Linked DNA regions of Caenorhabditis elegans. The gene in region 1 interacts genetically with each later gene. Each region holds a gene or a part of one and is shown in the gene's direction. Other genes may lie near its edges.

Evidence for each region.
Region 2: of mrpl-54 (region 1) and spn-4, a change in one rescues a mutant of the other (synthetic rescue), as found in Caenorhabditis elegans (one study listed by BioGRID).

Annotation. Positions count from the first base shown.
Region 1 is NC_003279.8:9,153,548-9,165,381, reverse strand, and holds mrpl-54 (Large ribosomal subunit protein mL54), read left to right. Parts: upstream 1-5,859; coding exon 5,860-6,261; downstream 6,262-11,834. Other genes in the region: eef-2 (Elongation factor 2), read right to left, coding at 1-546, 593-769, 818-1,172, 1,219-1,433, 1,726-1,728; clsp-1 (Claspin), read left to right, coding at 2,121-2,216, 2,261-2,567, 2,613-2,675, 2,719-3,031, 3,137-3,319, 3,734-4,438, 4,506-4,722, 4,922-5,296; F25H5.10 (uncharacterized protein), read right to left, coding at 6,396-6,581; F25H5.7 (Protein-tyrosine phosphatase), read right to left, coding at 7,971-8,025, 8,070-8,167, 8,213-8,364, 8,421-9,066, 9,111-9,536, 9,725-9,820; H32K16.2 (uncharacterized protein), read left to right, coding at 10,677-10,791, 10,920-11,017.
Region 2 is NC_003283.11:6,776,611-6,790,082, reverse strand, and holds spn-4 (RRM domain-containing protein), read left to right. Parts: upstream 1-5,179; 5' UTR 5,180-5,180; coding exon 5,181-5,230; intron 5,231-5,277; coding exon 5,278-5,382; intron 5,383-5,428; coding exon 5,429-5,491; intron 5,492-5,539; coding exon 5,540-6,255; intron 6,256-6,308; coding exon 6,309-6,430; 3' UTR 6,431-6,896; downstream 6,897-13,472. Other genes in the region: gck-2 (Mitogen-activated protein kinase kinase kinase kinase), read left to right, coding at 1-501, 1,092-1,194; ZC404.2 (ABC transporter permease), read right to left, coding at 1,673-1,778, 1,826-1,920, 2,100-2,108; spe-39 (Spermatogenesis-defective protein 39), read right to left, coding at 2,503-2,715, 2,768-2,871, 2,922-3,084, 3,137-3,452, 3,508-3,644, 3,695-3,856, 3,908-4,115, 4,162-4,322 and 1 more; ZC404.15 (uncharacterized protein), read right to left, coding at 6,955-7,130, 7,222-7,404, 8,999-9,119, 9,372-9,410.

The DNA of each region.
Region 1 (11,834 bases):
CTTTCCTGGAACGTAGTTTGGTCCTTGAATGCGAGCCTTCATTCCAGTGGCGACCTTTCCGGAGAACACACGTCCGAAAGCGTAGAAACGTCCCTTATCGGAAGTTGGCACCATCTTGGAGATGTACATCATGAGTGGTCCATTTGGATCACAGGTCTTGATAGCAACGGCGGCCTCGTCGTCGTGTGGTCCTTCGTAGAGCATCTCCATTCTGTATTTTTGAGCAGTCACTGGGGATGGAAGATGGAAAGCGATCATCTGGAGCATAGTGTCTCCGGCTGGAAGCCACTTGCGCATGAAGACCTTCATGAGTGGTTTTCCTTCCAAATCCTTCTCGTCGTTGGCGAGCTTGATTCCGAGCTTCTCAACAAGAGCAGCGGTCTTGTCCTTCTTGATGTTCATGACGGCGTCGAAGACCATGAAGATTGGGTCAAGAACGAATTGGCAGAATCCACGCTTGCTCTCATCGGTCTGAGTACTGCTCCACTTCTTGGTCTTGAGATCGAAGAAACGATCTCCCCAGAGGTTCTTCATGAGCTTGTCAACCTGTAAAAATATTTTATATAATTTTAACATACAACAATCAATTTACTTGAACTCCGAACTTTCCGGCGTACATCTCAGCGAACTGCTTGAGGGTGAAGGCCCATCCGTGGAGTCCAGATCCGAATCCGACGTTTCCGATAGATGGATCAACCATGATTGGTCCCATCGGTCCATCGTCGTCTCCGTAAGTGGCAATGATGACGTTGATGTTTTCAACGATACGCTAAACGACAAATATATAACAATGTTACAGTTGAAACACAAAGCTTACTTGGAAGGTTTGGAAAAGTTCCTCGGCTCCGAGTTGAAGTTCGAGAAGGGCACGGTCCATCTTGTTCATGAAAAGAACTGGCTTGATACGCTCAGCAATAGCCTGACGCAGCACAGTCTCGGTTTGGACACACACTCCGGAAACACAATCGACGACGACGAGAGCTCCATCAGTAACACGAAGAGCAGCAGTAACTTCAGACGAGAAGTCAACGTGACCGGGTGAATCGATCAAATTGATCAAGAAACCGTTGTATTTCTCTTTCTTTCCATCAACCTCAACCGTCTCGAATTGGTTTTCTCCCTTGACGAACTCCAAATCCTTCTTCTCGAGCTCGAAGAAAAGAGAGATAGCACTAAAACAATATTATATTTAAGCTGAAATCCTAAAAATGAACTTACGTAGATTTGATGGTAATACAACGCTCCTGCTCATCCTTACGAGTGTCAGTGAAACGAGTCTCTCCAGCCTTGGATCCGGCAATAATACCGGCTTTGGAAACGAGTGAATCGGTAAGGGTAGATTTTCCGTGATCGACGTGAGCAATAACAGACATGTTACGAATGTTACGCTTGCGATCCATAAGCGCACGGATCTCATCGACCGTGAAGTTGACCTGAAGAGGAAAAAATAATTATTTCAATCGATAAAAATTATGAAATTTTACCTAACGAAATTTTTTCTGAAAATCCATAATTTAATTCAGATTTTGATAATACTGAATGGTTCTCAGTTGAAATTTAATTTAATTAACATATCCGGGAACGAAATCTCAGTAGGCCCAAAATTTGCTAATTTCATTTAATTATTTTGAAACTTTACGTTTTTGTCCTAAATTTTTTTCGAAAATAATAGACGACAATTCATCAGAACGTACAGTTACAATAATTAGAGGGATAAATACTCACCATTTTTAGTTTTTTGTAGGGTTCTCTTCAGATACAACAACAAAAAAGGACCGCACAGAGGATAGCGGCGTGACAAGAGTAAAGAAATTTGCGTTGTCAACTCCTCCAGCAAGATCTGTTAGATGTGCAGGCAAAGTACGGTAGAGCGCCAATTCAAACACTTGGCGCTCTGCCAACCAATTCATTTTCGCGCCTACTTTTGAATCTTAATGCCATTTTTTCCTTATTTTTCTACAAAAAATTGTCAAATCTGTTTAACTTTTTCTTAATAAAGTCAAAAAAGGGCCATTACATTTATCATAATGTTGTACTTTATAACTGACCGAAGAAAATCACGCTCTATAGACTGAAATTTTCCAAACTTCTTTTTAATATTGTTTTAGTTTAATTTCCAGATGAATTCTGATTCCTGTTCAACAAAAACCGTGTCAGCAGACGATACAGATTCTCCATCTTCTCTAGTTGCCGAACACACCATGTCCGATTCCCAGGTAATGGTTTTAAGACCGAAACTGGATCGAAATACATATTTCAGGAGCAGCTGATATCTAGTGAAAACACGGAAGTCGATAAGCAAGCTGAAGAAGACCGAAAACTTCGTCGTCTTAATCGTCGTAAAGCACTGGCTTTAGAACGAAGTCCTCTTCCTGTTCCGAAGCTTGGGAGAGTCCTATTATCTGCCAATAGTACGATTGACCTGACAAATGAAGATGATGACCCAAGTAACAAATGGTTCAAAAAGACGTTTAATGCTGAAAAAATTCCGAAATTGGCAAAAAGTCCGGAAGAAGCTAAATTATTCGCCGTTCCTCGAAAAATATCGAAGAACGCACCCAAGAGCCGTTAGTTTCGTTCGTAATAATTCTGATTTAACTTACTTTTTCCAGTTCTGACCAGCGAGACTTTAAAAAAGAAGCTTCAAGCTTCGATGTCAGCGAAGCGACGGAAAGGTATCGGCTTCGTGTTAAATTTTTACAATTTTTGAGTTTTCAGAACAAGAGCAACGTCGGAAAATGTATGAAGAGGATAATGAACATCTGAAGGCTGGCAGTGATGAAGAAGAGGAAGAAGATGTCGTTTTTAAAAAAAAGAAGGGAAAGAAACCTGTGAATGAAGAAGAATATAAAAGCGAAGATGATGAAGACTATGAACCTGAAAATAGCGGAGAAGAAGATTCAGATGAGAAGAATAATGGCCGAGCCGACGATGAAATGAGTGTGAACTTGTTGAATGACTCGTTTACTTACGATGTTTTCAATAATGTGAAGAGATCAGGACCTGGATCAACTGTTTCAAATTTCGACTCGTTAGTGTTTCATCTAAATTTATTTTCTGCGGTTTTTGTGTAACATATGTGTCAGATCTTTCAAAGAAATCTCTGATTGATAGAGTTTTTATAAATAAAATTTAGGCGTTCCGAAGCAGATGTTGTTGAAAAAAATGGAGTAGTTCAACTGCCGACAATGACGGAAATTACTGGCGGATCCAACGATATTCTCAATTTGTGCCCTGGAAGTTTTGGAGTTTCACAGTCTGCTGGTTTTCCAGACACTTTGCAAATGTTGATAGAAGAAGACACGACTGAAAGAAAAATGTATGTTTTAGAAAACTTAATCTCATTCCGGAAAATCTGAAATTGGAGCCCTTTTTCTTTTCCTTGAAACTATTCGCATTCTCAAAGAAAAAGTTTATCAAATCATTAAACAAAAGATAATTTGTTGTAAATCTTTTAAATAGAGAACTTGATAATTCTTTCTCATAAATTTAGAGAGGTTTTTTGGATCTCGTTCCTTTATCAAATCTTGATTATCGATAGAGCGCGCTTACAGCTCAACTGTGAAGAAATGAAATTTCGGTTGTTTTTTTTTGACTTTCTAATTTGTGGTTTTTTCTGCAAATCTTAAAAAAAAAATACAAGAAAAAATCGTCCACGATCGCTTATTCACTTTCGAAAACATTGTTCTGTGTTCCAAACGATTTAATTATATTAAATGAGATCTTTTTAAAGAAATCTGCCACAAAACTCGACGTCCGTGTCGTCAGACAAGCCCCGCTTGGAAGAATCTGAATCTGAAGACGAAGACGATGTTGGTGTGAAGAGGAGACTTCCGGCAGTGAAAAATCATCGAGTTTTGGATTCGGACGAAGAAGATGACGTCATCGAGGAGACATTGCCAAGCCAAGACGTTTTTGGATCGGGAACTTTGGAAGATTCCGAAACTATCAAAGAAATTTGCGAAAAATCTGGTGAATTCACTGAAAAGATAGAAACAGTTTTAGAAGAAAAAACCGAGCTGAAAAGAGTTGTTCTGAGTGATGGTGAAGATAGTGATGAAGAAGCTGAAGAAGCTGAAGAAGAAGGTGATGATGAAGAAGAACCAGAGGAAGATGACATCGAGAGTGAGAATGATGAAGCTGAAACCGAAGGAGTAGAAGCTCCGGATCCAAATTTCGACGATGAAGACGATGAATTAGCTATCTTGAAACGTTTGCAACACCAAGAATACAAACAAAAAATCAAAAAGAGAACACTTTTTGATGATGAAGCTTCACTTTCCGGTGATGATGTTGGAAGTGATCTAGAAGATGAAGAAGGCATGGAAAACGTTTATGAAGCAGAAGAAGGAGATGCAGATGATGTTCCCGATAATGATACTATTCGGAGGCAGAATCATAAGTTGTTGCTGAAACAGGAAAACGATAAGGAACAAAGGTAATATATTTTCTCTATTTTTTTTACTTTGGCATGTAGAATCAAAAATTAATTTATAATTTTCCAGAGAGCTTGCAAAACTTCAAGACCGTCTACTTGCCGACGGAGATCTCGGTGGAGTTGAGACGAATCGTCAATTCCGTTTCAAGTTACGAGAAGAAGTTCAAATTCAAATGGGAGATGATGTAGATGGAAATGATGGTGATGGAGAAGATGATGAACCAGAAGAAGATGAACAAAAAAAGAAGGAACGAGCCGAAATGATCAAGTTCAAATATGAACATGTGAGTTGATAATAATTTCCCACAAAAAATGTTTTGAGCACAAAACATTGTTCGAAAAAAGGTAATTAAAAATTATTACTCCTTTTGATTTTGTTATATTCTAAATGAAATCCAAAAATATTAAAATTCTTTCAAATGTTATGCATAGTTTTTAAAAAAGTTATATGTTTCTTGAAGTTATTTTACATAATATTTTCAGGCGGAAGAATTGATGTTGCTCGATGAGCCGAAACAAGGCGATGATATGTTTGCTCGCGCCGGAAAGTTATTCAAGAAAACTGAAAAAACTGTAATCGAATTCTCCGAAGAAACAATGTTCAAACCGAGACTCAGCAAGCCATCTCTACTGTCAAAAACCACTCTTGCTGTCACATTTCAAGAAGTTCTGAATGGACCTGGAGGTGCAGCAAAACAGATGTATGTGCAAAGCTTTGAGAAGCCAACTCCTCTCTCAACTGGACATATAAGTTCACCGTCGTCTCGATTGAGCACAGGAAAACGATTGCTGAAATCGCCAGAATCGTCAGCATCTGCAAAACGTGTCAGATCTAGTAAACTTAGCTCTTTGGAATAATTTTTCTATTGCTTTTTTTTTGTGAATTACAGTTATTACCCCTCAAAACCTCTGACATATCTGTATTTTGTTCTCACTTATCTGTGGATTTTATTTCTCTATTTTATGACTGGTTGTGTTATTTTTAAACAAAAAGATCTTGTATTTTATAAGATTTTAAAATTGTTTTTAAAAGAAGTTTGAATACTTTTTCGTATCTAATGTGCATGTATTATGTCGATCAAGTGTGCCGGAGAAAAATTTCAATATATTTCTCGATGGAGCTAGCAAATTTTTATAATAACTTCAAAAAATTCTAGAATGTCACATTCTAAAATTGCAGTTTTTCTATTTATAGTAAAAACAATTATTCGAAAAGCAAATAAAGTAAATCTTTTAAAAAATTAATTAAAGTAAAATGGAGGCAGTTCATGGTTGAGCTTTTTTCCGCTTTTTTAAAGAAAAGTTCGACCCGAAAAATGAAATTATCACATTTAAAGATATTTTGCTTGTACATAGTTGAACGCAATATTATCTTGCTTTGAGTATGTGCGATTTCAAGAGTTCTAGTTTCAAAATTTCAGATGCTCCGTTCGACTCTTTCAACAGTCAGTCGAACTACATCACTGATACCTCGACGCTTATATGCTCCACCAAAAGCTGCAGCAGCTGCTGCAGGTGTAAAAGTCGACAAATCTTTCGTCGAAGAAGATGCTGTCAAATTGGCAACCCACGTATGCATCAATGCATACACACAAGGAGATGAGCCGGGACCGAAAATTCTTCCAGACTCGGAGTATCCTGAATGGCTGTTCAAATTGGATCTTCGAGCACCAAGAGATTTAGAAGATTTGGATGCCGAAAAGGATGGATGGTTGTACTGGAGAGCTCTAAGAAAAAGACAAGTCGAGCAAAATCAACGAATTCAGAAGTTGAAGACTAAGTTCCTACACTTGCAGAATAGTCCCAGTATGAAGAAGAATTAAGTTCCGGAGTATTTTCAATTGTTGACTTTATTTGTTTTTAAATTTTTAGCATCAATCTATTATCTAGTTTATAGAAATGAATTTATTTTTACTTTTACTTAAAAAATCGAACTTATATATGTAATGCCAAAATTTCACTTTCTTTTCTTCGCCAATTTTTTCTTCTGCTCCTCTTCATGGTTCTTCTGCGCACGATCCGCGAGCACACTGTCAAAAAACTTTTTTCGATCGGAAATTTCGGCCTCTCCCCAATTAGTAAAGTTTCCGTCTTCGAATTGTGTTGCATATGGATCGTTATGGTTGCTGGTTGAAGGCTGCATCTGAAAATTATGAAACTAGTGAAATTGAGAAAGTCCAAGAAAAGAAAAAGTTGCACATTTAGAAAAAACTTTTTTCTGCAAATATCCGTGTTTTCTCAACAAAAAATCTCAGAAGGAAATTTCGATTGACTTTTTTGTTACAGAATTCTTACAGTAACTTAAAGGTGCACACACAAAATGTTTTTAGAACGCGTGACGAGACCCTTGCTCTAAAATCTGTCACCCATGAAAGTCGTTGAAATTTGGAAATAAAACAAGTGATTATGTTTTTAAAAACAAAACTTAGATAACTAAAACCTTTACATTTTTTTAAGAATATGATTTTTGAAAGTTAAAATTGGATTTTCTAATCATAATAAAAATCGCTATACAATATTCTAACGGGAAAATAGAATGATTTTTAGGTGAGGTGAGAAGTGAATAAGTGCTTTAAAAAACAACAAAACAGGAAACCATTCAAAAAATGGACAGATGGTCAGAACAAAACCCCCTCCCCTCTCTTCATTCGCCTTCACAAATTTATTGATCGACAACGCAATAATTAAAACGCGCACATATTTCAGTAGATTCCCAAAGAAATCAATTGGTTCTATGAGCAAATACAAATATTGGGGGTTTTAATGAAAAAATAACTAAAAAGGCAAGAGCTCCTAGGTACCCAAGGCTTTAGATTAACTGTACAGTAGCACGATATTTTGAATATTACGTAAACGTCGGTGGATATTTATATCGACTTTCGAAAGTCTTTCGAAAAGTATACTTTCTTGACGTAAATATGTCTTATTACGAATCTCATAAAGTTTGTTGAAATATCCGCATAGATTGTCCGTCTAGACTCTAGAGAATAGACATTTTCAACCTGTGGCTGTTACTTAATAAATACATAACAGTCCAAATGCATGCAACATAAATTATTTCTTAACGAAAAAAAAAACAGTTAAAACTTTGGCAAATACCAAAGTTTTCAAAAAAATAACATTTCTGAAGTAATTTAAGAGAATTACGCATGTTCGAACTTGTCTAATTTTTAGGTAGAAATAATTAGTATTTAAAATTCGTAGAAAGGAACAATTTCTTGGTTGACTCTGATTTGTGCCATAAACGAAGGAAATCATAACTAATGACCCCATAACTGTCTCAACAGGTATAATTAATATCAATTGTTATGTATTGAAATGTTGAGGAGTTTATTGAGTTGACAGTTGAATTGCTAATTTTATTGAGTTGACAGTTGAATTGCTAATTTTATTTGTGAGAATGTCAGTTAAAAAGTAGGTTTAAAAGTTTCCCTCGATCTGAAATGGAAATGAAAAAACAAATCAACCAAAGAAAACACAACACATGAGTTGAACTTTATTCCATTTATTAAAATTTCATAAAATAATAGTTCTATACTTTAACTTTATCCTTTTCTTTTTCTTCCGCTGCCAATTTCTCGCCTTGTCTAAAAGTTATCACTATTTTTAATTCCAAAACCAGCAAACTCACTGATTCTGGGCCGCACGTTTTGCCAACTTCTTCTGTGCATGCTTCTTGTATTGAGTCATAAAAGTGTCAACTCGTCCGGTACGTTCAACGACTCCTTCCTAAAATTTGGAGTTGTTGCATGTACAAAAATATGAAGAACATACCCCAATAAAGTACTCCATCAAAACAACATAAAGGAATAGGAATTGCATATGAGATTGAACAGCTTGGAAACGCATTGCACGCATCTCACGGACAATATCCAACATCTCAATATTCGGATTTTCCATTATGCGGATAGTCGCGTAGTCGATACCTAACAGAATATAAATGTTTGCCCCTGTGGAATGTATTGTTCATTTTATAACTTACCAACAAAAGTGGCAGTTCTTCCGACACCAGCACTACAATGCACACAAATCGGCGTTTCCTTTGGATTCACCTTCTTCACCCATTTATACAATTCGATCATCGGACGAGCATCCTCCGGAGCCAATTGATCTGGCCACCATGGAACTTGCACATGATTCATGTACAATGGTTCAGAAGAGGCATCCTCCGTATTGGTTACAGTCAAAGCATTCCAAATTGTTCCTGCGATGGCTTCTTCTTTGCATTCAGTCAGTGTGATCTCGTATTTTCCGAATTTCACAACTTCACCGAGTTTTTCAGGATAATAAAGAGCACATTTCTCAACACCACCTTCAAACAAAGTGCAAAGCATCAAGACATAGGCAATCTTCTCCTGATAAATCATATGCCAAAAGTCTGAGAGAGTCTCTGGAAGTGGTCCTTGTGTTGTGATATACGTGGACTGATCTTTCCCAGGCATTCTCATCCACGACGCGTGGATGTAGTCACGGTCATGGTTCTTCAGAACGACACGTGTCTCCTCGATACAACGAACATCTGCATAGCGATTGAGATCCGGATTAGCATCATAAGCGGTATAGGTACAGTTCGGTGGCATGTACCCTTTGATCTTATCCTGATGAAGCTTACTGATCGCTTGGCATTTCTAAAAAAGGGAATATTGTACAATCAACTAATCAGATTCCATACCATTTTAGCAGCTTTAAAAGCCCAAATCTTCCTTGGATCACTTCCAGGCTCCGGTGGTTGTTCATTATCTTCATCAACTGATTCTGACTTGTTCATCTTTTTCTCTTTATTCACTTTCTTGCTCTGCTCCTTCTTTTCTTCTCTCAGCTTCTCCTTACTTAGCTTCTTACTAGGATCCTTCTTATCCATCCTCTTCTTATCATCTTCCTTACTTGCCGTCTTCTTAACATCCAACAAATCATCCTCACTTTTCTTTTTCTCTTTCTTCACTTCATCGTTTCCAATCAATTTCTTCTGTGGGGGAACTTCATTATTAGAAGAAGTTGTTTTCTTTTCTTCAGAATTTGAGTTCTTCTCATCCTTAACAGGTTCGATGGTTTGTGGAGGACAATCATGTGATTTTTTAGTTTCGGTTTTAGTCTCCTTCTGAAAAATTGATTTTTTTTGAAAGAAAAAACTCGCAGTTTTTTGGATCTCTGATTTAAACTCTTTTCAAAATAACTAGACGCTGGATAAGGATTTAGAAACTGAAGTTTACTGCTCGCGATAAAACGAAAATAATTGATTAAAACCCAAATTACTATTATATTTACTATTTACTATGATTAAATTACCTTATTCTTCTTTGAAGCACACGACCAGAGAGCATATCCACTTGCGAGGAGAAGTGATGTGTTGCACAATGGATTTGTCCAATTGCAATCACTCATGATCCTTGCTAACTTGGAATTTTCTTCTTCGAAAGTTTAATCAACAATGATTGAAATTTTGAAGATTTATTGATTGATAAACAAGATACGAAGAATGTACTACGTTAATTGAAAAATGAAGTTCACTGAAAAAATTGCGTGATGAGAAAATACGAAAATAAATTATTATCTTCCAAATATAGGTAACTCGTTTGGAACCGTCTTTGTCATAATTTCTGCCCTTTTTTGGAAAATATTGCCCAGATGCAAAATTTTGCGGTTTTTGACTACGATACCCGGTCTCGGCGCGACCTGATATGTTAGAAAAATAAAGATATGTGCCTTTAAAATGTTCTGTAATCTCAATGTCTCGCTGATTTTCTGTTTTTTTTTTCGATTTTCTTATTAAAACCTTAATTTTTTATTATCAAAATATATAAACTGACATGTGAAACGTGGCTTATTTTTTATTTTGTTTTTTATTTAAGCGCCTCCCATTTTTTTAAAATGAACTAATAAATAAAAATTTTAACGAAAGGTCAGAAATGGGAGGAGCTTAAATAAAAAACAAAATAAAAAATAAGCCACGTTTCACATGTCAGTTTATATATTTTGATAATAAAACCTTATAAGAACTTTATATTAACATTTTATCCAAAGTACTGAAACAACTTTTTGGTTCACAACAATTTGTTCCGATGATCTGGTGTCTGCGCCAATGAAGTCACAGGTGATTCTTGTACTTGACGCACTCGGTTTTTCGTACGCGCAGAGATGATACGCCTTCTTTGTTACTGATATAAATCTAATAGGCTGATAGGAGGACTTTCAATAACAAATTCAATTTTCAAAGTGATCGTCTCTTTCTTATTGAACTATGTCCAATTATTTGATTACATTGCTTATGGTTATTGTTCTAATGTTAATATCAACCTCGTATTGTCAATTATTTGGTGGATGGTCCCAACCTTCATGGGGTTACAATTCTCAAGGTAAATTAGAATTTCTTATTAACATTCGTTGAAAAATAGTTAATATTAAATCATGTAAAATCTAGACAACCACAAAATTGGTTTAAAAAGAGGTTTCAAAGAGGTTTAAAAATATTAATTTTCTGCAGGTGTTGGATACGATCAATACGGTAACTCTTTCGAAGGTACTCCACAAAATGGAATATATTTGTTCTGTAATGGACATGGTTGCCCGGGACGTGGATAAAATGGAAACTACATCAAACATCAATACGAAACACTTGGGTCGATTCATGATTTATTTTTCATTTCTTCTTTGTTTTATTATTTACAACACTTTCAGTTTTATTTGAAAATTTCAAATGAACATTTTATTAATTTTTTAATCAATGTGTTGTTTCAAATATAAAAACTTTGAAAACTGTCGAAGCAAAGTGTCAAGGTCACTACATCTTTTGATATGTAGTTCAAGTATATCTATGTTGATAATAAATCATACTAGTGATAGAATTTTTGTTAGGTACTAATGTTTTGAGTACACTGGATATCGTTGGAGGTACTATTGTCTTTTTCAATTTGACGAATTATTTACTTTAGTACATTTGATCATTTGATCAAAAAATATATAAGTATATTTAAAAAAATTATTTGATTTTAAAAAAATTAAAAATTCTAGAAGAACATGTGGTCACCATACGTCACCTTAACTGTCGATTATCTATCAGAATTATCGAAAACAGTTTCGATATTCAAAATAGTTGAAGTAAGAAAATCAACAAGACGGACATCAATTAGGGCATCCGTGTTAGTTTTTGAATCTTAATTTCGTTTTGGGCAAAAAATCATTTGGGTAATATTTGGTAGCTAATTTCGTAGCATTTGGAGTGATGGTCTCTAAAATGTTGGAGAAATTTTGGATTTTAATTATTTAATTGAAATTGTTTTTGGAAGTTAGAAAATGTTTCTAAAATATCATTTTCAAAATTCCAAAATGTTCTGTTCGCGCTTTTATTTTTTAAGTCCTTTAAAATGTATTTTATTTATTTTTCAGTTATGAAGTTTCT
Region 2 (13,472 bases), on another chromosome or scaffold:
TGTTTTGGTTCGAAGTGAGCCTATTCGAGAAGACATTCGTTTCCCCATTCGACCATTTGCATTGATTAATTCACGAACATCAGACTTCCCAGAATTATGCATTGGAGTTGGTCAAATGTCTGGATCAAATGAATATCAATTCAATATGATCAATTTCTGCTCATCAACTAATAACTCTGAGCTCAGTGGAGATTTAAACTCATCATACGGAAGTCTTGCCGATGACGAAATGCTTGAAGTTGGAAGTATGCATCAAATTGATAGAGATACATTATGCTTTTCATTCCGCAATAAAGTAGTGTTGACTGATCTACAGGGATTCGAACGCCCGAAGCCGTCGATCTTCACTTTCAATTTTCACATTGAATATCTACACGTCGTCGATGGAACGATTCTCGCTTTTCATGCAAATGGAGTTCAAGGCAGAGATTTGAAAAGTAATCTGAATACTCAGGATTTGTGCGATGTATCTCGATTATATCGTGTGATCGGTGATGATAGGTACAATTTTTGAGATTATGATTGAAAAAAATGAATTGAAAAAAATACAGTCATGATATTTAGTATAAAAAACGTAAAATAAACAAAAATTCTCAAATTTTGGAAAAAACAAATCATTCTTAAATATGAAAATGTAATTTTAAAAAGGCAATCTCCATATTCTAAAGAACCTTTTTTTAAACAAAAATCAACTTATTAAAATTTTAATAACTCTAGTTGTCTTAGTTTTAAAAAAATTCAACTTAAGTAATATCGCATTAATGCGAAAACGCAGATTTAAATATGGAATTAATGTTCATCAAGAGAGAATCCAATTTTTCTTGTTGCAAAATCGAAAAAAACAAAAAGCCAAAAAACGGCAAAAATGTGGTTTTGTAAATTTTTTCTGAAAACTTCAAAATTCAAATTTTAAACGACTTAATTGTAAGCATCCTATATATTATCTTACAATTATCATTGAAAGGGCGTAAATTCTATGAAAATATCAGAATAAAACAAAGAAAAATTCAAAAATATACAAGTATTTTTTCATAAATTTTTAGGTTTTTTTCAGTTTTTTAAAAGGCAAATCGATAAATCTTCATTTCCAGAGTAATAATCCTCCGATCGCAACCAATGTCACCCCGAAACTCTGGCGATACTTGTGACGTCAGCTTACTTATGGGACATACGGATACTCCAATCGCTGGATAAGATCTCTCTCATCGCATATATCTGCTTTTGTTTCCAGAAGAAAAAAACGTATTTAACCTACACATTTTCCCTACACCGGGTCACAACTCATGTATTCTGCTTTCTCCTCACTCGATTCTAGTTCATCATTATTTCACGCATAATTTAATAGAAAAAAAACCAAAATTCCCCCACCATCATCACCAATTCCTGTAAAATAAATCAATTTGTTGATCTCCTCGCTCTTTCCACCATTTTCTCCCAATTTCCGTGTTCGTTTCTTTTGTGTCAACTAATTGCCTTACCCTATCATATAAATACCGAAAAGTGCCCAATTTTATTATCAAATGGTTTTTTTGTTTCGCCTGATTCACTTTTTCATCGAGCTTCTTCTGTTTAACGCGCAATTTTCTTTTCCTTTTTTCTTGCATCCGTGTTTTTGTATAAAATAAGTCTTGTTATTTATTTTGAACCGGAGAGCTGTTACGAAATAATATCACTAGAATTTAACCGGATTAAGTGACCAGAAGATCAGGGTGGTAAACATTGCAGCCAACACAATGTAAATGAAGAGAAAATTCAGCGGTAGTTCTGTGGTGAGAAGTCTGAAAAAAATTCCGAATTTGAAATAAAATTTTGAAAAATTGCTCACCTTGAAACAGCGCCGGGCTTCTTTCGTCGTGGAGTTTTCGGTTTTCCACTCGAAATTGATGTTTTCTTAGAGCTGCTTGCAGTAGTCTTACTTGTCTGAAACAACAAATCTTTGAAATTGAGGTGCAAGCGCGCTCCATGGGTCAATTTGAATTTAGTGGTTTTCCGCCAATACCTAACGAGACCCATCTGTTGGGGGCGGAGCGTTTTCATTTTGACATGGAGCGCGTTTGTTTTCAAATCATTCTGATTATTCAAAAATAATTTTAACTTACCTTATTCATGATTTAGTCGAAATAAAATAAAAATAAAGGAAAAATAAAGCGTCGTGGAAATTTTTAAAAGTAAAAAAAAGTTTCACGGCGAATTTTTTAAAGAAATAAATAAAAGATAGAAAACAATAAATTTTATTTAAATAAATATCTATAACGACAAGTTTTTACATCTACAGAAAAAAAGAGAGAGCGAGGAACCAGTGAAAATGAATAATTCTTAATCATTTACAAGACTGAATAGTGAAATTATGTTATAGTATTAAGAAGTGAAATGATGCTCTATAATATGATAAGGATTGTGTATATTCTACAACTAACTATGCGTGAATGGAATTATGAAAGTGATGAGGGATGTGGTGAGGGTGAAAAAACATGTACAGTACATTGAAGCGAATTAATAAAATTACTTCCATTTTATCGACGGATTGTTGAGAGCCGCCACCGCTTTGAATGATTCCACAGAATTTGTTTTCAGAGATTTCGCGTATGAAGCCAGCGAGAGACGATCTCCTTTCTGTGTCAGACACTCGATGACCATTTCAGGAACATCAAATAGTAGTGCTAGGCGAAGACGTTCTTGTGCATCAGATTCGCCTTTCAGGATACGGTAGATGAACTGAAAATTTACACACATGAATAATAGGTATCTTGTTAAAACTATTCCTCACATCAGTCGGTGGAGATGGATGAGATCGTTTTACAATAGTCAGCAAATTGTGATTATTGATGGAAACTCCCCATTTACTGGTTGATTTTTTGCCTTTGAACACACCTGAAATTCAGTTAATTTAGATATTTTCTCAGCTAAAACCACAAAATTACTTTTAGCTGCACTGAACGTCATGGTGATAGTTTTCGGTTGAAGTAGCTTATCGATATCTGGCCAACGGCTTAGTCGAGTCAACGCTGAGACGATCGTTTGAGTGGCAAGTCGATCATTGAATCGGATCAATGTTTGAACTGATGGTAGAGAAGCTGCAGATGTCTGTAATACATCGATTATGAATGATTTTGCAACGTTCTGAAGAGTAATGTACCGGTGAATCGTCGTAATGGTACATCGCTGAATAATACAGTGACGATAGAGCAGGTAATCCAATTAGAGAGCTGGTTTTTGGAAACTTTCGGAAATGTTCTCCTTTATCTCCAGCATCCATTTTCTCCATTTGCAATTGGATTTCATAGTTTCTCATCAACGCTTCCATTTGTCGGGCTTCAAATTTCATTTCAGGAATTGAGAAGCTACCATGAAGCATGGTTCGGAGCAACGGGACTCGCTTGTCTGGATTTCGTTTGTATTTTCGCGTAGCTTCGAATTCAATGACAGATGCATGTTGATACTGACCAATGCTACTATAAAATGGGGAAATTGATTTCAACAAATTTTAATTTAGTTTTTATTAAATACCGTAAAAACTTGTTCATCTTGTCCCACTCGCCGGTGATCTGAAGATGTCGTGTGTAAACTCGGCATGCACTTTTCTGGCCATCCATTATTTTGCAGAATATGTTTTCCTTGAGAGTTCTCTCTAGAAAAATCACAATCTGTAAAGAAAGATAACTTTTTAAAAAATTAGTATCATAGCTGTTCGGACCTTGAAAATTGTATTATTGTCGTACGTGGCAACTGCTTGCTTCAAAAGTTGTGTCTTATCACGTAATGACCTATAGTAATCCAGTGTTACAGTATGCCCTTGAAGCATTCTCTTGATACTAGCCTCGATTGTAAGCGGCTGAAACCGTTCGTGGCGAAGAACCTAGAATCATAATTATCTTCAAAATTCTATATTAAAACTTTAATAGCTAACTTCGTGCTGATCTTTAAGTTTCCGATGTTCTTGTCTCAATCGATTATAATCCAAATCAAGACGTTGTGCTTCACTTGGTAAACTACTTGCACTTGCTTCAGAAACCACAGATGGAGCGGTCTGAATAACTGGCGCCACGTTAACGTTCTCAGCGAATTTCATGTTCAAGAAATCATCTACAATCTTGCCAGAAGCCCGAGGAGAGGTACTGCAAATTACTTATTTATATTCATAAAACAATGTAATTAACTTACTCTGTTATTCGAATATTCGCCTTGTCTGACACAGCAGCAGCTCTTCCGTCAATTTGCAGTGGAACATTTGTGGGAGTTGGCGTTGGGTTCTGCGGTCGGACGTACGGCTTCGGAGTCTCATCGCCACCGAAGAGATTGTCGACGGCTGCTCGAGCTTGAAGCTTTAATTTTCGTGTTAAACACATTGATTTGAGCAATATAATAATTAAGAAACGTGTTAATTTACTTTTTTTTCAATTTTTTAAAAGTAAAACATCTGGTCACGTTTATAGTTTTAAAAGATTTTTTTCGTTTTTTCTTAATATAATAACTACGTTAAAACTTACTTGTTTTGATTGTAAATCATCAAACAATCCGGATGAATTCGAGTCAGATTCATTCCAATAACTGTCTTCCGGAAGTTCAAAAGTGAATTTCCTTCGAAGGGCCATTCTTTATAATATTATCATTTCTTTTGCAAAGTATCTGAAAGAAACTATAAGAATGAGAAAAAATAGATAAAATTTTATGGGAAAATGGGAAAAGAATTCAATAAAAAATAAATGCAGAGAAAAAAAACGCAATTGACATGAAACGAGAAAAAGAGAAGAAAGGCAACTGCGTGCACGCTCCTTGCAAAAACTGCGTGCCAGGATTGCGAAGGCGGGGCTTATGAATGAAGCGCGAGTTTGAATCAAATAAAATTATTTTTTGCTCTTGGCCTAAAGAAAATCGAATTAAAGCTTTAGTTTCTAGTAATTCGTAAAATAATTTTTTTAATCGAAAATAGAACACAAAATTGTCTAGTTATATTAACTTTTAGACCTGATCCGACGTTCGTATGAACTAGAAATCTAGAAGATCACAAAGGCGCGAAATTTTGATTTTAGATTTTTCTGTAACTCGGTGGCGGGAAAATGTGAAATTATATTTTCAATCGTTTTATCATCATTTGGAATCATTTCTGCACTTGTCTTCTGTTGTCTTGTCTTTTCTTTACCCAGTTCCTCATTTTTCTTTATTCAACTTTTTTTTTCAGAATGCAAAACACACAGATATTTACTAACTTCGCTCACAGAGCACATGATGGGTATGTTTATCATTTTTAAATGTTGGTATTAAGTATTTCTTTTTCAGATTACCGTTTAACAGTGCGAATCCTTCCAACAAAGATCCAATTTTCACAATGCCAATATCGGTCAAACCGAAAACTCGTGAGCCGGCTTCTTTCACAGATAACAGGTAAATTTGTCGTGCCGTTTTAATGAATTCATCAAAAAACTTTTAGGATATATGTCAGCAATATTCCCTTCTCGTTTCGTGAACAAGATTTGGCGGCAATGTTCTTCGCGTGAGTTTTCAATTTACAACAAGTTCTGAATAAGAATATTAATTTCAGATATGGAAGAGTCCTGAGTGTGGAAATCGTCACAAATGATCGTGGATCCAAAGGGTTCGGGTTTGTCACACTCGATTCCATCGAATCCTGTGAGAAAGCTCGTGCTGCGCTTCACGAATCACATGTTCAAGGAAGAATTATAGAAGTGAGAAGAGCGACACCAACCCGCAGAAAGCTTATCAACAATCCACAAAATGAAGTTTTGCCACCACCAAAGCTGTGTGTCGATCTTCGAGCCCCTCATAATTTATGGAGAGCTGAGCCAATGCATCAGTTGTTCAAGGAAAAGGAGAACACAACATGTTTTCCCGAAGCTGGATTCATGATGGCACCATACCGTAGCAATGGAATTTTCAACACGCGTAGTCTTGTGCAGACCAAACCACCTCGATGCACCAAGCACAGCGAGCTCAAGCTTTCTTCAGCTGGTGAATACTTCTGCAAAAACGGCGAGCCTACGACGGAAACAAGTATTCTGATGTGCATGCACAGACAAAACTCACCATGCAGCAATAAGTGTTCTGATTCTTCGAATCACGAGCTGTCTGATGTGGAGTTGAACTCTATATTCCCACATCATCTTCGTGACCAGATTACTGCTCTTCTCGACACTTCAAACCATTTTGGATCAGGAAATAATAGTGCTAACAAAGGAAAGAGAGCACCATCTGTGACATCTTCTGGATTGAGATCATCAGAGAGCGAGACAGTTTCAGGTAAATAGTTTAGATTCTAGATTGTCGATTTTCATTTAAAAATCAAATTTTAGACGAAGAGATTCATTGGTCCCCACATAACAGCCCTGATTATCTTCTCGCTGCTCTCTACGAAGGTTCCACATCGTTCCACGGAAAGTCTGTTTCTCCACCAAAAGAATCGTCAAGCCAGTAATCAGTTCAACTGATACGCCCATTTTATTTCTACTAACTGCGTGTTTTGCATTTTATCGAACACCCCTAAACTTTCACTTAACCAAAAAGCTTTAACAAATTTTTTACGGAATCTTCTTGTACAGCGACACTCGTTGTCCTTGTCAAATGATTCGTTGCTAGTTTTTCTTCCCTGTAGCTTCTATATCGACCCCCCCGGTGTTATTTTGTAGGAATGCGTTTCAGCATCTTCCCTATTTTGCCATCTCTCACATACACTCAACATTAGCAATCGGAAAACAGATCTTCTATATTGAAAATATACTACCAGTCCGTTTAACCTACCTCGCTTGCTAACATTATTGAATGTGCCCACGTATTGTATTTTCTGAGCATCTTTCTGTTTTTTTTGTATTTTATAGACGCTGTGTTCGCCAGTTATTTTTGCATTCCTGTATTGCTCGAAGTCAAATGAAGTGCTTCGCCATATTCAATTGTTTTATTTTCAAAATCACCCGTTAATACTAGATTTCAGTTTGAATTTAATCACAGTTGTGAAAGATCATTATCCCGGCGTGTCATTGAGAGATCAAATGTTATCTTTCGGCACCTCTTGGCCTTCCTCCATTCATGATCAGAAGATTCACTCTCTTCTAAAATGACGTCGTGAGAGACTGCGGGAAGAGAAAAGGACGATGGCTGTCGGCACTTTGTGGATGCTGCTGGAAAAGTTTGGTGAATTTTGAAGTTTTGTGGTTTTTGATGATAACTTCAAAATGGATGGGAAAACACGAGAGAGAGAGAGAAACTTACGGATTTGAAGAGTGGGTGGAGAGGAAGGGTACAAACTGCTTCGCTCCTCATCATTTCCTGTGCCACGTCGACTTCGATTTTGACGACTTGAAAGTGTTGCGAAGAAGGACATTCGACGGGATTTCGATCGTCGACAACCACCGCTTACCCAACAAAATAGGCACGAAACAGGAATGAAGATACCTGAAATAAATATGCATTATTAGGCAAACTTGGAATTTTCATAGTTTTTTCCTATAGATTTTGATTTTCTCTAAAATTCCCCAGCGCCTATATTACAGGAACACTATTTACATTTTGAGAATGCGAATTGCACAACATCTGACGCGCAAAATATCTCGTAGCGAAAACTACAGTAATTTTTTAAATGACTACTGTAGTGCTCGTGTCGATTTACGGGCTCAATTTTCGAAAATATTTTCTCGAACTTTGGCAGCGATTATCAATTAAAATTATTTACAATTCGAAAAAGCGAAGCAAAATTGAAACCCGCTGTCCAAATTCGAAAAGAAAACATTTTCGAAAATCGACACGAGCACTACAGTAGTCATTTAAAAAAATTACTGTAGTTTTCGCTACGAGATATTTTGCTCAATACGCATTCTTGAAATTCAGTGTTCTCGTAATATCATATAGGAATGGCCCCTTAACACACTAAAACAAGAATCCCGACATGTAATTTGTCACCATCTTCGTTTTCTTCCCAAAAACAATATAGTTATTTTCTTTCCATATTTTTTGACGTCAACTTTCAAAATAGGCAATTATTTTCACCCAATCTCTTTCAGCACACCGCGGATTATGCATCTCTTTGCCTGCTTTGCGTTCACCGCTTATTCATCAACATGAGAAGAGCTCAGTGACGAGTTAAAACAAACAAGAAACGAAGAGTTCCGTCTGCAATTACTCCCTTTACTCGTTTCACCGAAAAAAGCAAACGAACGGGTGCTCTGAATGAAAACGAACAAACATCGACGGCTTCTTCCGCCAATTTAATTGATACAAAACTTTGACTACAGTAGTTTTGTTTTGGTTTCTTTAAATAGGCTAATCAAGATGAGAGCAAACATCTGAATAGCATATGAACAAGAATTAACGAATGTTTACTTTTTCAAAATTTACACCCTAGGTTATACTATCCAGTCGCAAAATTTTGCAATTTTTCCGCCAAAAATACCGCAGCCGGTCTCGACACGACAATTTTTGTTACATGGAAATTGTTGTGTGCCTTTAATGAGTACTGCATTTTAAAATTCATTGCTGCGGAAGTTTCATCAATTTTTAATTATTTTTTTGGAAAAAAAAAATATTTATTTACAAAAAATCAAATATAACATTAAAACCGGATTTAACAAAAAATTGTCGTGCCAGAACCGGGTACCGTATTCTTGAACATTTTGGTATACATCGTTTTCCGAAACGTGGACAGTTTTCGAGTTAACTGCCAAACTCTCGGACTAAGAACATAACGCTTGGCGTAGGAGAAGCCGTTGCTATATTTATTTATATTTCCCTACTATAATATTTGTTAGCCGAGTAGAGACGAATCATCTCTGGTCTCAACCCTTGCTTAATGAATTTGATTATGGGCACAATGCAATCCCTCCATGCACTTCGCGTACAATATATATTTTTTAATATTATCATTATTTCTTCTTAAATGAGAATCAATAAGATGTCCTTGTACAAAAATTTTTTTAAGCGTGCGTGACGTCACACGCAGCCTCGAATTTTTGATAGGACCCAGTGTCCTTATAGACTTAGCTTGTAAGCATACCGGTAAAAATTGCGAAAAAGATAACAGCTAAAAATGCAACAAAATTGAGTTGGCACACAAGATTCGGCATATGCCCAATGCAGTAAGAAACCAAGGATCCACATTCAGCAGTGCACTCTTCCTGAAATAAAGCAACGTCATCAACCTTCAGTTTTCACTTTCCACGAATTGCTCTCTCATCTTCATTTCAAGCCTTTCAACCGGAAACCGCCCAGGCTTTTACAGAATAAGGAAATAATATTGAATAGAGATCGAAGCACGAACTTCTTGTTCTAGAAGCAGGTGCAATTAATAAAAAACTACATTTTTCCAAGTATTTGTTAGGTCTCTTTCATTTGGATTTCCTATAGATGGCGATCAAACTGTAGCTCACCATAGACGAATAAACAGGATAAGCTGTGTCCATGTCCATAGTCAATCCATGTCGAAGCTTGTGTTTTGATTGTCTGGAAATTTAAATTAAACGTACAATTTTAAAATCTGTTATGATCCTCGAAAAATCATTGGTTGAATAAGCGGATGTTTGTTGTTTACAAAGTATGGAAGGTAAATAATTTCAGATTCAAATAAAACATTTCTTGACCACATGTAAATATGCAAAGAAGATTGGCCACCTAGATTCGTAAAGTATTGGAAACTATGTGAATCCATCAGATTTGCTCCCAATACCTTCACTTTAATAACTGTGATCTCGGTTTAATTTTTGTTAGATCTCAGGTACACATACTTTTTCTTATATTTTTGAAAAAAGAAGACCACCGAGAATATAAGCTGTCAAATTTAAGCGGTGTGGTGCACGATTATTTGAGGAGAATTGCTGTTTGAATGTGAATAATACCTGGGGGGGGGGGGGGGGGGTGATTTGATGAAAAAACATTTATGTATGGCTAAAATAACCAAATCAGCTTTGCCAGCCATATTCCAATAACTTTTGAATTTTCAAAAAATGTACAGTCAAAAAGTCATCCAAAAACGAATGTTTCCTACTGATTTTGTATTCTAAAAAATTGTTACTTTTTTTTTTAATATTTGTAAATTATAGCATTGTAAATTAAAACATCAAACATGAGCCACTACTTTTCACTAAATTTTTCAAAACCACAAATTTTTCTCAAAGTTTGTTAAAATTTGGAAATTCACCTTGACTACTTCACAAAAACGTGTAGAAAGTGTAACTGGGAAAAAACAGAAAAAAAACAAATACAGTAGTTGAAAACTGAATCGAACGACTTGTCGGAGAAGTCAGGAAAATGGCAAAATTTTATAAAAAACAAGTTGAAAAAGTCGGTAGAACTCTTTTTTCTAGTCCTGACAGATGATAGAAATTATGGAAATTTAGAGAGAAAGTTTGGGACCATAGGACAGAGGAGGCGGACTTAACCGAATGGAATGCTATAAAAAAGAAGAAGCGGTTTGTCGAAAGAAAGCTGTGGGAGGGTGTGGTCTCCTAAAGATGAAAAAGAGTAAGAGAAAAAGACTTGTGCACAACTCGAATAATAACGGATCGAACGGAAAAGAAGAATTGAAAGAAATGTAGACACCGGATGGGTTGAAACTATTAGGACACATGGACCAGAACTGAGGCTACTCGAAAGAAGAAATAGTTTTTGATCAGCCAAATATGTCTGGCTTGGAAAAATGAATTATATGGATAAATAGAACAAGATGCCTAATCAAAAAAATAAAATAAGATATTGACATCATTATTTGCAAAAGTGTCAAATGAAATTTAATCCTGTCCGGTATAAAATGGGGGCGAGCGATTTATGATGACTTCCTGCAGAAAACATAGAAATACATGACATTTTCGATTAAATGATGTCTGAGTTTAATAATTCAAATTTAGATCAAGGAGGTCTACGTGCAGAAAATAATTCAAATATAGATTTACGTATGTTAAAAACATTTTTAATTTAATCCAGAAGATTCAGAGTTTTTGACCTACTTTTCCCGAAGGTTGAAAGTTCAATATTTGAGCGAGGACTGCAGGCAGGTAGGCAGGGAGACAGGCGTTTTGGTGCCTGCACAACTCTATTTTCAGGTCAGCCAGCAATTACTGCCGCCGCCCTGAGCGCTGATTTGTTTCAAAGTATTGTTTTGGAGAAAAATCTATTAGGGTAAATACCACGGGTTTGATATTTTTTCTTTCCCGATTTTGCAACATTTTTGACTATGTTTTGGAATTTGACAATGCTACATCTTTTAAAACAAGAACAATTTGATTTTATAATAGTCAGACACAACATTTCCAGGTCTACTTTTAGTCCAAAACCCTTCAATTACAATTTAACATTTCGAGGCAAAAGTTTTAATTTTCCAAAATATTTTTCTAGACAATTTTTTTGGATACAAAATAATTAGTGATTTGAAGACGAAAAACATTGAAATCTCAGGTTTCCAGGAAACACGCCAAGAAAAAAATTCAGGGAAATCCCACGATGTTTGAACAAATTCATTTCTTGAAGACAGCTGAAAAGAAGAAGTATCAAATGAGTTATGCTTACGTGAAATCATTGTGGGAGGAATGGAGGTGAAACTCTTCTGAAATATTTATCAAAAGCTCAGAAACTGCTGCTGTCTTCAATTGAACGCGCGCACGCGTCGACGACTTTTTGGTCTTTTGTGAGAGTGAGGAATAATATAGGTTTCACACTAGAAAAAAAACAGGAAGAATGGGAGCTTCTGCACGGGACCAACAGAGTTCAAAGCTACATGCTTCTCGGTTTTACATGTCTCTCGTTTCTCGACTTCCTCGTCTCACTTTTGGCCAGTTATTATTAGTAGTAGGTCACTGGGACATTCAAAGATTTGATTTGATTTACGAAAAAATAAGAGATGCTGCTAAAATGGAAAAAAGAAGAAGAGGGGATTCACCCTCTTGAACCCAAGTTTAGGCATTAAAAAATGGGTTCGGTTTTAGAGATGCACGTAATCGCAGAACATGGATGCTGAACTATTGATGCCCCAACCGTATTTCATTTAAAAGCGAAGCTGAAGTTGGGAAAGTGATTTTCAGACCCTGGATAAAAAGTGAAAACTGTTTAAAAAAAACATAACTTTAAACAATCTGGGATGTCAATTTGTTGTATCTTAGACAGAATAAAAAAAACGCTGCTCAAAGGATGATGTTGCAAAAAATTCCGAATTCCTCTAGTTAGATTATTTGAGGAGTAATATATGTATTTTTTACTTTATGAATGACTTTTAACAGTAACAATGTTGCCTCGACGCATTAAAACTAGAATATATTTTCCAATTTCACGTTGATTCACCATGCTTCTGACTTCCTATCCCACAGAATTTTCTTGGAAACACTATTTTAGGTGTATTTCTGATAAATCAAAAAAAAACATATGGTTCATTGGAGCTTGACTAAAGTCTAGAATGATGTATCTTGAATTGGAATTTTGAGTCAAACTGCTGAAATTGAATTAACCAAAAACTTGGAAATTTCGTTTTAAATGAAAATCAATTTTCAGTATCTCAAAAAAATGAACTGAAATGAAAAATGTACGTCATGTTTAAATAACTGTCTGTGGCAGATTACAGACCCAACGAGAAAGGATATTGGCACACAATTTTCAAAAAATGTTTTTCAATACAGCTTTAATATTCGCTCTGAACAGTGTTCTCATAATTAAAGATAACATTTTAAAAACCTCATTTGCAATCACAAATTCAATAATAATGTAACACCCAATTGCAGTGTAACAAAATTAGCTCCCCTCAAAAATGCTATAAAATGCGTACACCTGTTGAGGAGAATATACAAAATGAGTCGCGTGGAAATCGATTTGGCTGAAATTGATTTCAGTTATTCTGTTTTTATGGCGATTCTCAATTTTATATCATTTATAACACTACCCATCTGTCTCAAAGTTATTTTTTGTATTTTTAAAAATATCACACAATTTCAAAGTCATTATTCTGACTGCTCATATAATAGGGTAGTTATAACTGTTTAAAATAACATAATGTATACAATTAGTTTCAGATGTATCTGTGAAGACTTCTACGGGTTGCAACTTCTTCGTCCAATGGTTTTTGCCCCAATTGTTGGCTTTTACTGTAATGGACTGCAGTCAATGATTGGTGTACACCCATTCTTGCAAATATACGGTTTTTGCATGTTAGTTCAGATGGATATTGTTATACTTGTGCATATAACAATGTATCGAATGAAATTTATCATTCCAATGACTTTCCGATATTACAAACTTTTTATCAAGTTAGGAATATTTATTATTGTTCTTAGCTACATTGTCGGCTTTGTTATCAGTAACTTTATACTGCTTGCAATTGAAAATCAGGAAGAAGCCAAGTTGTTCATTTCTACGGTTTGGAAACTCTCGTGTCTATTTATGTTACCTAAAAAATTACAGAATGTCAGCCAGGTACCAGAAGTGCTGTGGTCGACGAAGTATGCAGTTTCATCTTCTAAAAACCCCCACCATGGTACTCTTCTTGTGTCCTT